2 linked regions of the Ovis aries genome follow. The protein of the gene in region 1 purifies or fractionates together with the protein of each later gene. This does not show direct contact. Links are inferred from orthologs where the notes say so. Each region holds a gene or a part of one and is shown on either strand. Other genes may lie near its edges.

Region 1 (4,734 bases):
AAATAAAAAATAGTGCATGCTAGTGACAGTGTACAATAATTTACCTTCTGATTAAGGTTATATATAATGTAACAACAAAGAATCTGTTTTAATTCATCAAGATCCCTTTAATCATTTAATCATTTTCTTCTTTGTATCTCTTTTGAAGCACTGGCCTCAGTCTCTATAATTTACATAGTACTTTGTTTGACTGAAGTTGTCTCACTTGTCTCCTCACAAAAGCTGAGAGGTTAGAAGCAAGTCAAGCATAATTTATCCTCATTTGTCTACCAGGGAAGGGGCTCCAGTGAAGTGCTGAGAGCTGGCCAAGGTGTGGACACCACGTTATGGAAGAGTTGGGACCACACATCAGATTGTCTGGTTGTCCCCACCAGCACCTCTCCCCAGTGGTCCTGGTTACAACCACCCTACAACTAACCTCACCCCTTGGGGGCAGTTTCAAAAGGCTGATTTTCAATAAGCCTTCTTTGTCCAGCAGGTCATGTGTTCTAATTCTTTTGGAGATGGCTAACACTCTTGGCTGTTATGTCTTGAGCAGGTGATATCATAGCCAGCCAGAGGCCAGGACTCCTCCAAGTGAAGTGTGGGACCACAAGCACCAACAGGGTTCTTGCTAAACATGTAGTTTCTTGGTCCAATCCCAGACATACCTGATTCCAAATACTTTGGAATCTGCATTCAAGGTTTTCCCTCATCATCCAAACTAAAGTAACTGATCTAGTGACCTACTGCGGTAGTAGCTACTGTCTTCATAGATATGAGACAAGCTCTTGTTCATAAGTTTGTTTTACTCTTTCTCCACCTCAGAATGCAAATTCCATGAGGTCCTTGCAAGCCTTGTTTTTTCCAAGCCTTGTCCCTAGAAACCCCCCACAGTAAATATTTAATTGAATGTGCACTAAAATTTGAAACCACTGTCTTCATTTTATAATAGGGAAACTGAGACCCAACTAATGCAGAGTTGGTAAGGGGCAGGACCAGGGTCAGGATAAAATCTCGGATCTCGAGAGTTCCAATTCGGCGTTGGTTCGTCTCTGGCCCAAGCAATTCTTATAAAAACTGAAGTCCATTTGAGGGAGGGGGAAAAAAAAAAAAAGACATTTCTCGCCCATAAATACTAAGTTTCAGGGCTTGGCCGGGTTGGGGGCTGTTGGTAATTTCCTGCTCACTTCCGAGACGCCCGATGCCCCCAAGGGTTAAAGACCCGTCTTCTAGGCCAGGTGTCCGCACAGTGACCTGGCCAGGGCTGCCTGGGAGGAGCCGAGCACAGTCCGCGGAGGTGAGGCCGGCTCACCCAAGGTCACCCAGGCGGGGCCTGGAGGGGCCAGGCCTATGGCACGCAAGTAAGGCGACAGCACCCCCACCCCATCATCCTGTAAGCTTAGGGTGATATTAATGGCTCTTTCCCCAGATTCTGGCGCACCCAGCCTAAAGAGCAGGAGCAGGCCCCGCCAGCCGCGTGGCGCGGTCCCATGTGCTCCACCTGCGGACGCTCTCACGCGCTGGCTCTTTAAGACACTTCCCCCTCTTTATACCACCCGGTCTCTCCTACCCGGCTTGCTGACCGCCCCCCCTTCCGAATTGTATCAGGCACGTGCTCGCCCCGGTCCGGTTTGAGTACCCCTCACCCACCAGCCGGGGAGGTGCACCGAGGAATCGGAGGCCAGGGGCGGGACCAGGGGCGGGGCCGCGAGGCCCTGCGCGCGCGCTCCCGCCGCCTTCGCCCGCCCGTCGCCCAGGGCCAGCCCCGGCGGGCGCGCCCCCGTTGCGCCGTCCCCTCCCCTTGCCCGCTGCGTCGCGAGGCGCGCGCCCGCCCGCCGCCTGCCGCGGATCGCGTGGTCAGCTCGGCTCGCCGCGCCTCTCCCCCGTCCGTCCATATTGCTGCAGCCCCCGTGCCGGGAAGCCCGGGCCGCCCCGGGGGCGGGGGGGAGGGAGGGACGGGACGAGAAGCCTGCCAGGCTCCGGGTGGGGGCTCCTTGCGAGGAACGGGCGGGGGGGGACGCGCGCCGAGGAGGCCTGGACCGCAGAGTGGGGGGCCTTCCTCCCCCCCCCCCCCCGCCCCGCCAGCGGGCCTTGGATCTACGGCGGCTGCATCCGACCGGGAGGGGGGGCCGTGCCTAGCGTGAACCCCGACCCTTCTCCGCCGGGACTGGGGCCCAGCGCCCCGGAGGAAGGCGTCGCGGGCTCTCTGAGAGCCAAGTTCGAGGCGGGGGAGGCAGCCTCGGGCGCGCCCGGCTTCTCCGGGGGGGCGGGCGCGCAGATGGCCACTCAGGTGGAGCCGCTGCTGCCGGGGGGCGCCCCGCTCTTGCAGGCCGAAGATCACGGGGGTCTGGTGAGGAAGAAGCCGCTGCCGCCGCCCGAGGGCAAGGGCGAGCCGGGGGCGAACGACGTCGGAGGCGGGGAGCCGGACGGCGGCACCCGAAGACCTCGGCCGCCCTGCGCCAAGCAGCACAGGGAAGGCACCGGGCAGCTGGAGCGCGAGAGCCCGCGGCCGCCGCAGCCGCCCGGCGCCGAGGGCCTGGCCGTCAGCGACGGGGAGGAGGGCGGCGGCGGCGAGCCGGGCGCTGGCGGAGGAGCTGCTGGAGCCGCGGGCGCCGGGCGCCGAGACTTCGTGGAGGCCCCTCCGCCCAAGGTGAACCCGTGGACTAAGAACGCGCTGCCACCGGTCCTGGCCACCGTGAACGGACAGTCTCCTCCAGGTGGGTCTCCGTTTGGTATTCCGGGACCGGGGGCCTCTTCCGGGGACATAGGCGTCCCCTCCCCCAGCGGCCTCCAGGGCCCGGGGGTCCGCCGCAGTGGGTCGTGGTGACTCGGGTTTTTTTTTTTTTTTTCCATTATCCTGGCTAATTCAGGTCGCCGTGCCCTGCCCCCCCCCCCCCCCCCCCCCCCCCCACCCCAGCACACTCGGGAACCTGCCCCTGCCGCAGGGCCCGGCCTCCAGGAGGCTACGGCCACCGCCTGGGCCGCAGCGGTTAGTGGGCAACGGCGTGGTCCCGGCCTATCTCGCGGGGAGAGGGGCGGGCGCTGGTTTCGGTGAAAGGGGCCCTCCCCCCCGCCCCCACCGCGTGTCTGTGTGAGAGACGGTTTCTTGCCTGAACCTTCCTCGGGAAGCCCCCTCCGCCCCCCCGCCCCGTGTTCCTCGTTTTGGTAGCGTTGCTATCGTCCCCGTGTTGTAAATGTTTAATGAGTATATGTCATAGGCAGCAAAACGCCCGGCGATGAGTGCATACCGACCACACAGATTCGGGATTTAAAAGTTAACAAGTTTGTTCTCGAGTAGATGGTGTTAGGCGGTAGAATGGCCGTGGGCGACGGCTCGAGGGGTCGGTTACGGGGAGAATGGGGAGAAGAGGAAACCCAACGTGTCATTGAATTCGGTGCTTTCCCTCGCCTGATCCTGGGGACCTTCCGCCTTGTGAGGGAGCCGGATGGCGAGTGTGCGGGGCGTCCAGTGAGGGGAAATGTGAGGCGAGTAAGGGGGCATGCAGCGACTCGAGGGGCGTGTGGCGGCGGGGGAGGGAGTGGCCGGGCCAGGCCGGACGGGCGGGTGACAGTTGGGCGCCATGCGCCGCGCCGCCGGCCCGCGGGCTGCTCGCGGCCGCTCGGCCTGGGCGTTCGGCGGTCGCCGCGGCGCTCGGGGCGGAAGGCGGGTGCGGGCGGCGCGGTCGGGAGTGTGCGTGTGCGCGGGTGTGAGTGCGCGTCCCCCCTTCCCGGCATTCCTCCGCAGCCGGGACAACGTGGTGCCTCCCCGCGCGGCTGGCGGCATGTGACCGCCGAGCGGCGCGCCCTCCCTCTCCCTCCTCGACTTCTTTGGGTCCTTTCGGACCCGGCCTCTCGGGGGAGGTGGGTGTGCGGGAAGTCCCCGCAGAGCCTTGTTGGTGGGGGAAGGAGGGTAAGGAATATGGAGTCTCCGCCAGGCCTTCCTTTGCCGAAAATAGATCTTCGCCTTTGGTGGGGGGCGCGCCCGCCCTGCTCCCTTTGCCGGCCCGTAGAGACACCCTGGGGCTGGATTCTTGGGTTCAGGATCTTCTTGCAGTGAGCCGGTATTAAAACCCAATTGGAGCTACTACGATGGCCTGTGGCCATAGCCCTACGGCTTTTTCAGAACTCCTCCCCTTCTGCTTGAGACTGACTGGTTTAAACCATCAAAATGAAAAAAAAAAAAAAAAACCATCAAAATGGGGAAAGTTGAAAGGGCAGCTTAATGCTTTCACATTCAAGGGAATAGAATCCCTCGTAGTCCCAGGGAAACCAGAACACCGAATTCTGAAAATGGCATGTTGTAATTTTTATTTCTTTATAAGATTGCTTCATTTGGGGGAGGGGACCTTTGGCTTTTACTAATAGTACCTCAAACCGTGTTCTCTTCCTTTTGCCCTCCTCCCCTTCCCCCCCTTTTCCTTCCAGAACCCTCTTATGCAAAGGGCAGTGCTGAAATCTCCATTTTCTTGCAAATCTCTCCTGATCCACCCACGGAGGGAGGAAAAGCAATTTGAAGATACTCTTTGGTCCTTCCCCCCTCTTTAAACTCAGGGTATAATCATCCGGAGGAGAGAGCACTCCTCAGAAGTTTAAATGGGGCTACTCACTCTGGCTGCTGCTGCTCTGCTAATGGTGAACCTGCCTTGTGGGTTTTAAATCAGCCATGACATCAGGTGGTGTTGGATGTCTGAGCTGGCATTTTGTGCAAGTCTAGGGGCCCTTGGTAGGGTGCGTCACCGGGGTTATTGATCG
Region 2 (4,735 bases), on another chromosome or scaffold:
GTATTTTTAATTTCTGGGAAAATTCAGACAAAAAACCTTAATTATCAAAATGATGGTCACACATGGAAATGTCCTTTGTATTATCAGAATGAGCAGGATGAAACCTCAACACCTTGCCGCCTAAGCCGCCAGAGCAGTCAGGCCCTGCACCTAATGGTTTCTAGGCTATCAAGCCTCCATCTGAGTTCCGAGGAATTCCAGGAATTTCAGATGTCCCAGTGCCCAATCAAGTTCTCAACCTGGTGCTCTGGGATCTCCCTTCACTTCTCAACCAAACCCAGGTATACAACATCTGTCAGCAGAACACTTCTCTTTACCGGCAGTAAACCGGTTCAGACCCACTTTTCCTGACTTACGCACTGACATCACCCAGAATCTCCTCCAGGAAAGGACAGGGGCAGGGGGTGTTACCCCTGCCTCAAGGCACCATCTCACTTAAAATAGGGACAAGATCCCTAAGCCTTCCCCTCCACAAGCTCATCTGTCCAGTCAGCCAGCAGAGTAGCTCCTTTTCAGTACTTCCAACCACCTTTCCCACTGTTCTCAGCTAGATTCGTTCAGTATAAGGGAAGGTGGTCAGGGAAAGGGGAGACGGCATGTCCAAGTCAGCAAATGTCCAGGACCGAAGGGCTCACTTCTGAGGACTCTGATCCACAGCCTGCGACCCCAAACTGTGTTTCATGAATTAGCAAGGAAGAAGCCCGTTTCAACACGGCTCCTGTCTATTTCCAGACAGCACTGCACAAGGCAAGTCGGCTTAGTCTGACAAATCTGGCTGCACTTATTTATAGCAGGGAGAGGTCCTGCAGAGGTATGTGTTGGCAGACACACTAACCAATGGCTTGTGCTACTATCTCTAAGTGACAGGACTTTTGTTCAGAAGAGTCAAGGAGGCTGACAAGAGCCAATGGGCCCACTACTCCCCCCTAAAAAGGCCACACTCAGCTACTTCCTTGTGCCCTGTGGCCAGAAAAAACCCAGAGCCCGCTGAGCTGACCGGAGCAGTGCCGTGTCTCTCAAGTCCACTTATCTGGTCTCAGCTGCATCCTGGGCAAGTGACATTCTGTGGGTTTCACGGACAGTGGACCAAGTGGGGGAAAAAGTAGGGACCCGAGACCCTCTGCCACAGGACAGCTCGTTCTCCCAGCAATGGTCTGTCTCTACGGCTGTCCCCTTCTGTTCTGGAGTCACGTGCAGCCCCCGATTAGGTTTCTTTGGGCCCCACTCAGGCCAGGCCTGCAGGGCACGGCACCCACAGTCCCAGCTTAGCCTCCAGCCTCTCGCAGTTCCTTTTCCTCTTCGGAGGTCCTATCTTTTTCAGATGAGATGAAGTGAAAGGGTTTTTGACAAGTGTAAAGCACTGTCCACAGGTGAGGTGATAATCCCCAACAGCCTAGTGGATTTCCAAGGGGCGCCTCCCTGACTACCTGCGCAACCTGCTCCAAAGCCCAGGGAGCTGGCCTGGCACCACACACTCTGGTTGTGCTAACACAAGTGCCGGCTCAAGCTCAACACACAGAATTGTTCCCCTGCTCCCTACCTGCCCCTGAAAGATCCATCAGCACAAAACCAAAGACTCTTTAAGCTTAGGGTCAAGTGAGGGGAGGGGACAGCAGTTTTGCCATGTAAAATTTTGGAATAAATTGTGTTTCAATCATCCTAACTTTTCCTCAAGCCTGTGAGGGGCCGGAGCCCCTGGCCACCTAAGGCTCTCTTAACAGAGCAGCCCCGCTACCCCCACACGGAATGACAGCAACTTCCTTCTGGTCCTCCTTGGGCTCCAACACCCCCTCCTCCCACCACTGATTAGCCCAAGGTCACCCAGTTAGAAAGTGGTGGAAGCAAGACTGAAACTCTGGTCATCTGATGCCAGGATCCCAGGATCTCAACCCCCGCATCCCGTCCCCTACTAAGGCTTCTGTGCGCTCTCGCATGCCTCTCCCCGGGGGTGGGGACCCACCTGGAGAAGGACCCCAGGGTCTCCTGGGAGCCCACAGGTTTGTGGCCACTGCTCGTACTCACCGTCAGCCGGTTGCTGGAAGTTGACGTAGGCATAACCCAGGGAGCGGCGGGTGATCATATCACGGCAGACCCGGATGGACAGCACAGGCCCCGCAGGACTGAACTTTTCGTACAGCATGGCCTCGGTGACGTCCGAGTGCAGGTCACCCACGTACAGGGAGGCCATGGGGTAGCTGCTGGCCGCAGCGTTCATCTCCCCAGCCCCCACCACCCCGAGCCCCGCCAGGAGGACTTCTTAAGAGGGACCGCACAGGACAAAGGGGGCTCCGCTCGGAGCCGTGGCCCACGCCGCGGCTCACAGGTGGCAGTGAAGCTCGGAGAAGCTGGCAGTCGGCTCCGAGGGCCGGAGAGGAGTTCGGGGACGGCTCGGACGAGACTGCCAAACCGCAGACAAAAGGCTCTCAAAAACAATATGGCCCTCCCTGGGAGTTTTTGATTTTTCAGCTGTCCTGGTCTGAAGCTCCCAATTTCAAAAAAAAGGAAAAAAATTAAAACGGGGACTCCCCTCCGAATGACAAAAAAATTTCCAGAGGCAACCCAGCGGTGCCCACGGCGGCCTCCGGGACGCGCGTTTCTCTATAAATATAGGCCTCGGGCTCCCGGCGGTTTAAGATTACAGCAGCCCGGGGAAGAGGGAAACCAAATATTTGTCGGTGCCGACTCGGCAAGCCCCGGGCGGCCGGAGCGCGCAGCCGCCTCCCACGCCGGGCCGGCGAAGGGCAGCGCGGACACGTGGTGTGGGGAGGCCGGCGCGCGGGGGGCGAGGGCGGCGGGCGCGGGGCTGCCACGCGGCGCAACCGGGCGGCGGCGCGTGGACGCGGGCGCGCGGGCGGCTCACCACCGGACCGACGGACGGGGACCGACAGACGCCCAGGTGCGGAGCGGCGGGCAGGCCGGAAGCGTGCGAAAGTGACTTCCCCGCGGTTTCTCCGAAGAGGATTCGTTTTTTTCTTTTTCTTTCTCTCTTTTTTTTTTTTTAATTTTAAAGCGTTTTCGGGTTTTTTTTTCTTTTATTTTTTTCTTCAGGCTACTAGGCCCGAAAGTCGTGGAGGCTGCGGCGACCCGGGGCGGAGAGAGGCGGCCGGGGGAGCCACCGCTCCATTTATACCCGCCCGCCCCGGGCGCTGCTGGTCGAAGGGCGCCTCGCGACCTGGGCGCAGTCGTGCCCGCCCACTCGGCCCTGGGGCCCGAGGCGGGGCGGCCACACGAGAGCGTCCCGGCGCGGCCGCTCGGCGCCACAGCGACCCCTGGCGCTCGGAGGACCGCTCCGCTAGGGCCTCGGCCGGACCCAAGCGCCGCTTTCCCTACGGAAGGCTGCAGTGTAAACCACCCGCTCATCTGCTACTAGAACGCAAGGATAATGTCACCCACTCGCGCGCATCATGTTTGTAATCAGTGTCTTGCCGAAGTGTAAAATAAAGATGATATAAAGTAAATTATAGTTACATAATAGGTGCTCCATGTACATGATTGGGCCCAAATAAAGAAGCTTTTAGATTACTGGGACCTTGCATCGGGAACACGACAGCTCCTCCTGCAGTAGTACCCGTGGGTGATGAAATGCTCTGGAAAGATGAACAAATTTTGGAAAAGCTTCAATAAAACAAGATACAATCATCCCTCTATTTACAAGGTTGTGGTCTTCCTGGAAATTTAGTTGATATTTAAGGACACTGAAAACTGGACATTACTAAAAGGCACACAAATGCTCTCATTGAAAACCATTGGTTTGATTAAATGAATGAATGAAGAGATAATAGTATTTGTGAAGGTGAAGTCGCTCAGTCGTGTCCGACTCTTTGCGACCCCGTGGACTGTAGCCTACAAGGCTCCTCCATCCATGGGATTCTCCAGGCAAGAATACTGGAGTGGGTTGCCATTTCCTTCTCCAGGGGATATTCCTGACCCAGGGATCGAACCCAGGTCTCCCGCATTGGAGGCAGATACTTTAACCTCTGAGCCACGAGGGAAGCGCAGCCAATAGTATTTATACATTTACTCAAAGAAATGGGCTCGCTCTATGTCAACACCAGATAAAGGTGCTAGCGGATACCATGGCGGACAAGGCAGATGAAGTCCCTCTCTCTCTTGACATTTATACTCGAGGTAGTGTATTTTTTTTGGGGGGGGGTAGTGTATTAAATCAAGAAACATTTATGGAGCACTCCATCTATAGATAGATGCCTTCCTGAGGGAAGCCTTCCTAGACCACCAAGTCGTTTAAAGTAGCTTACCAGCACCGTACATCTCAGCACACCATTCTGTCTTCTTATCTTCAAGGCTCACTATCTGAAATCATGTCATTCACATATGTGTTTGCTTGTTTGGTTTGTTTCCCACTGTAAGAATGCTTCATGAGAGCAGAAACATGGGCCAGTGCCTACATGGCACATACTAAATAATAATATCTGTTAAACAAATGAATACCATAAGTAAACCTTGCATAGTCCCTAACCTTGTGTAGCTATCTAGTGGGGAACTTACTACCTGTGTGACCTTGAGCAAGCTAGTTGACATCTCTGACTCAGATTTCCAATCTGTAAGCAAACTAATGGGCTTCCATGGTGCCTCAGACAGTAAAGAATCTGCCTGCAATGCAAGAGACCTGTGTTCAATCCCTAGGTTGGGAAGATCCCCTGGGGAAGGGAATGGCAACCCATTCCAGTATTCATGACTGGAGAATTCCATAGACAGAGGAGCCTGGTGGGCTACA

What was found. Proteins that work in one complex are often made in the same cells at the same time.
Region 2: the proteins of LARP1 (region 1) and PABPC4 purify together in Homo sapiens (affinity purification with mass spectrometry; 3 studies listed by BioGRID and IntAct, with this or other methods). This does not show direct contact. The link is inferred for Ovis aries from reciprocal best matches to the Homo sapiens genes LARP1 and PABPC4.

The regions. Positions count from the first base shown.
Region 1 is NC_056058.1:63,733,475-63,738,208, forward strand, and holds the start of LARP1 (la-related protein 1), read left to right. Parts: upstream 1-1,819; 5' UTR 1,820-2,260; coding exon 2,261-2,699; intron 2,700-4,734. UniProt on the Homo sapiens protein: RNA-binding protein that regulates the translation of specific target mRNA species downstream of the mTORC1 complex, in function of growth signals and nutrient availability.
Region 2 is NC_056054.1:14,216,641-14,221,375, forward strand, and holds the start of PABPC4 (polyadenylate-binding protein 4), read right to left. Parts: upstream 3,100-4,735; 5' UTR 2,216-3,099; coding exon 2,023-2,215; intron 1-2,022.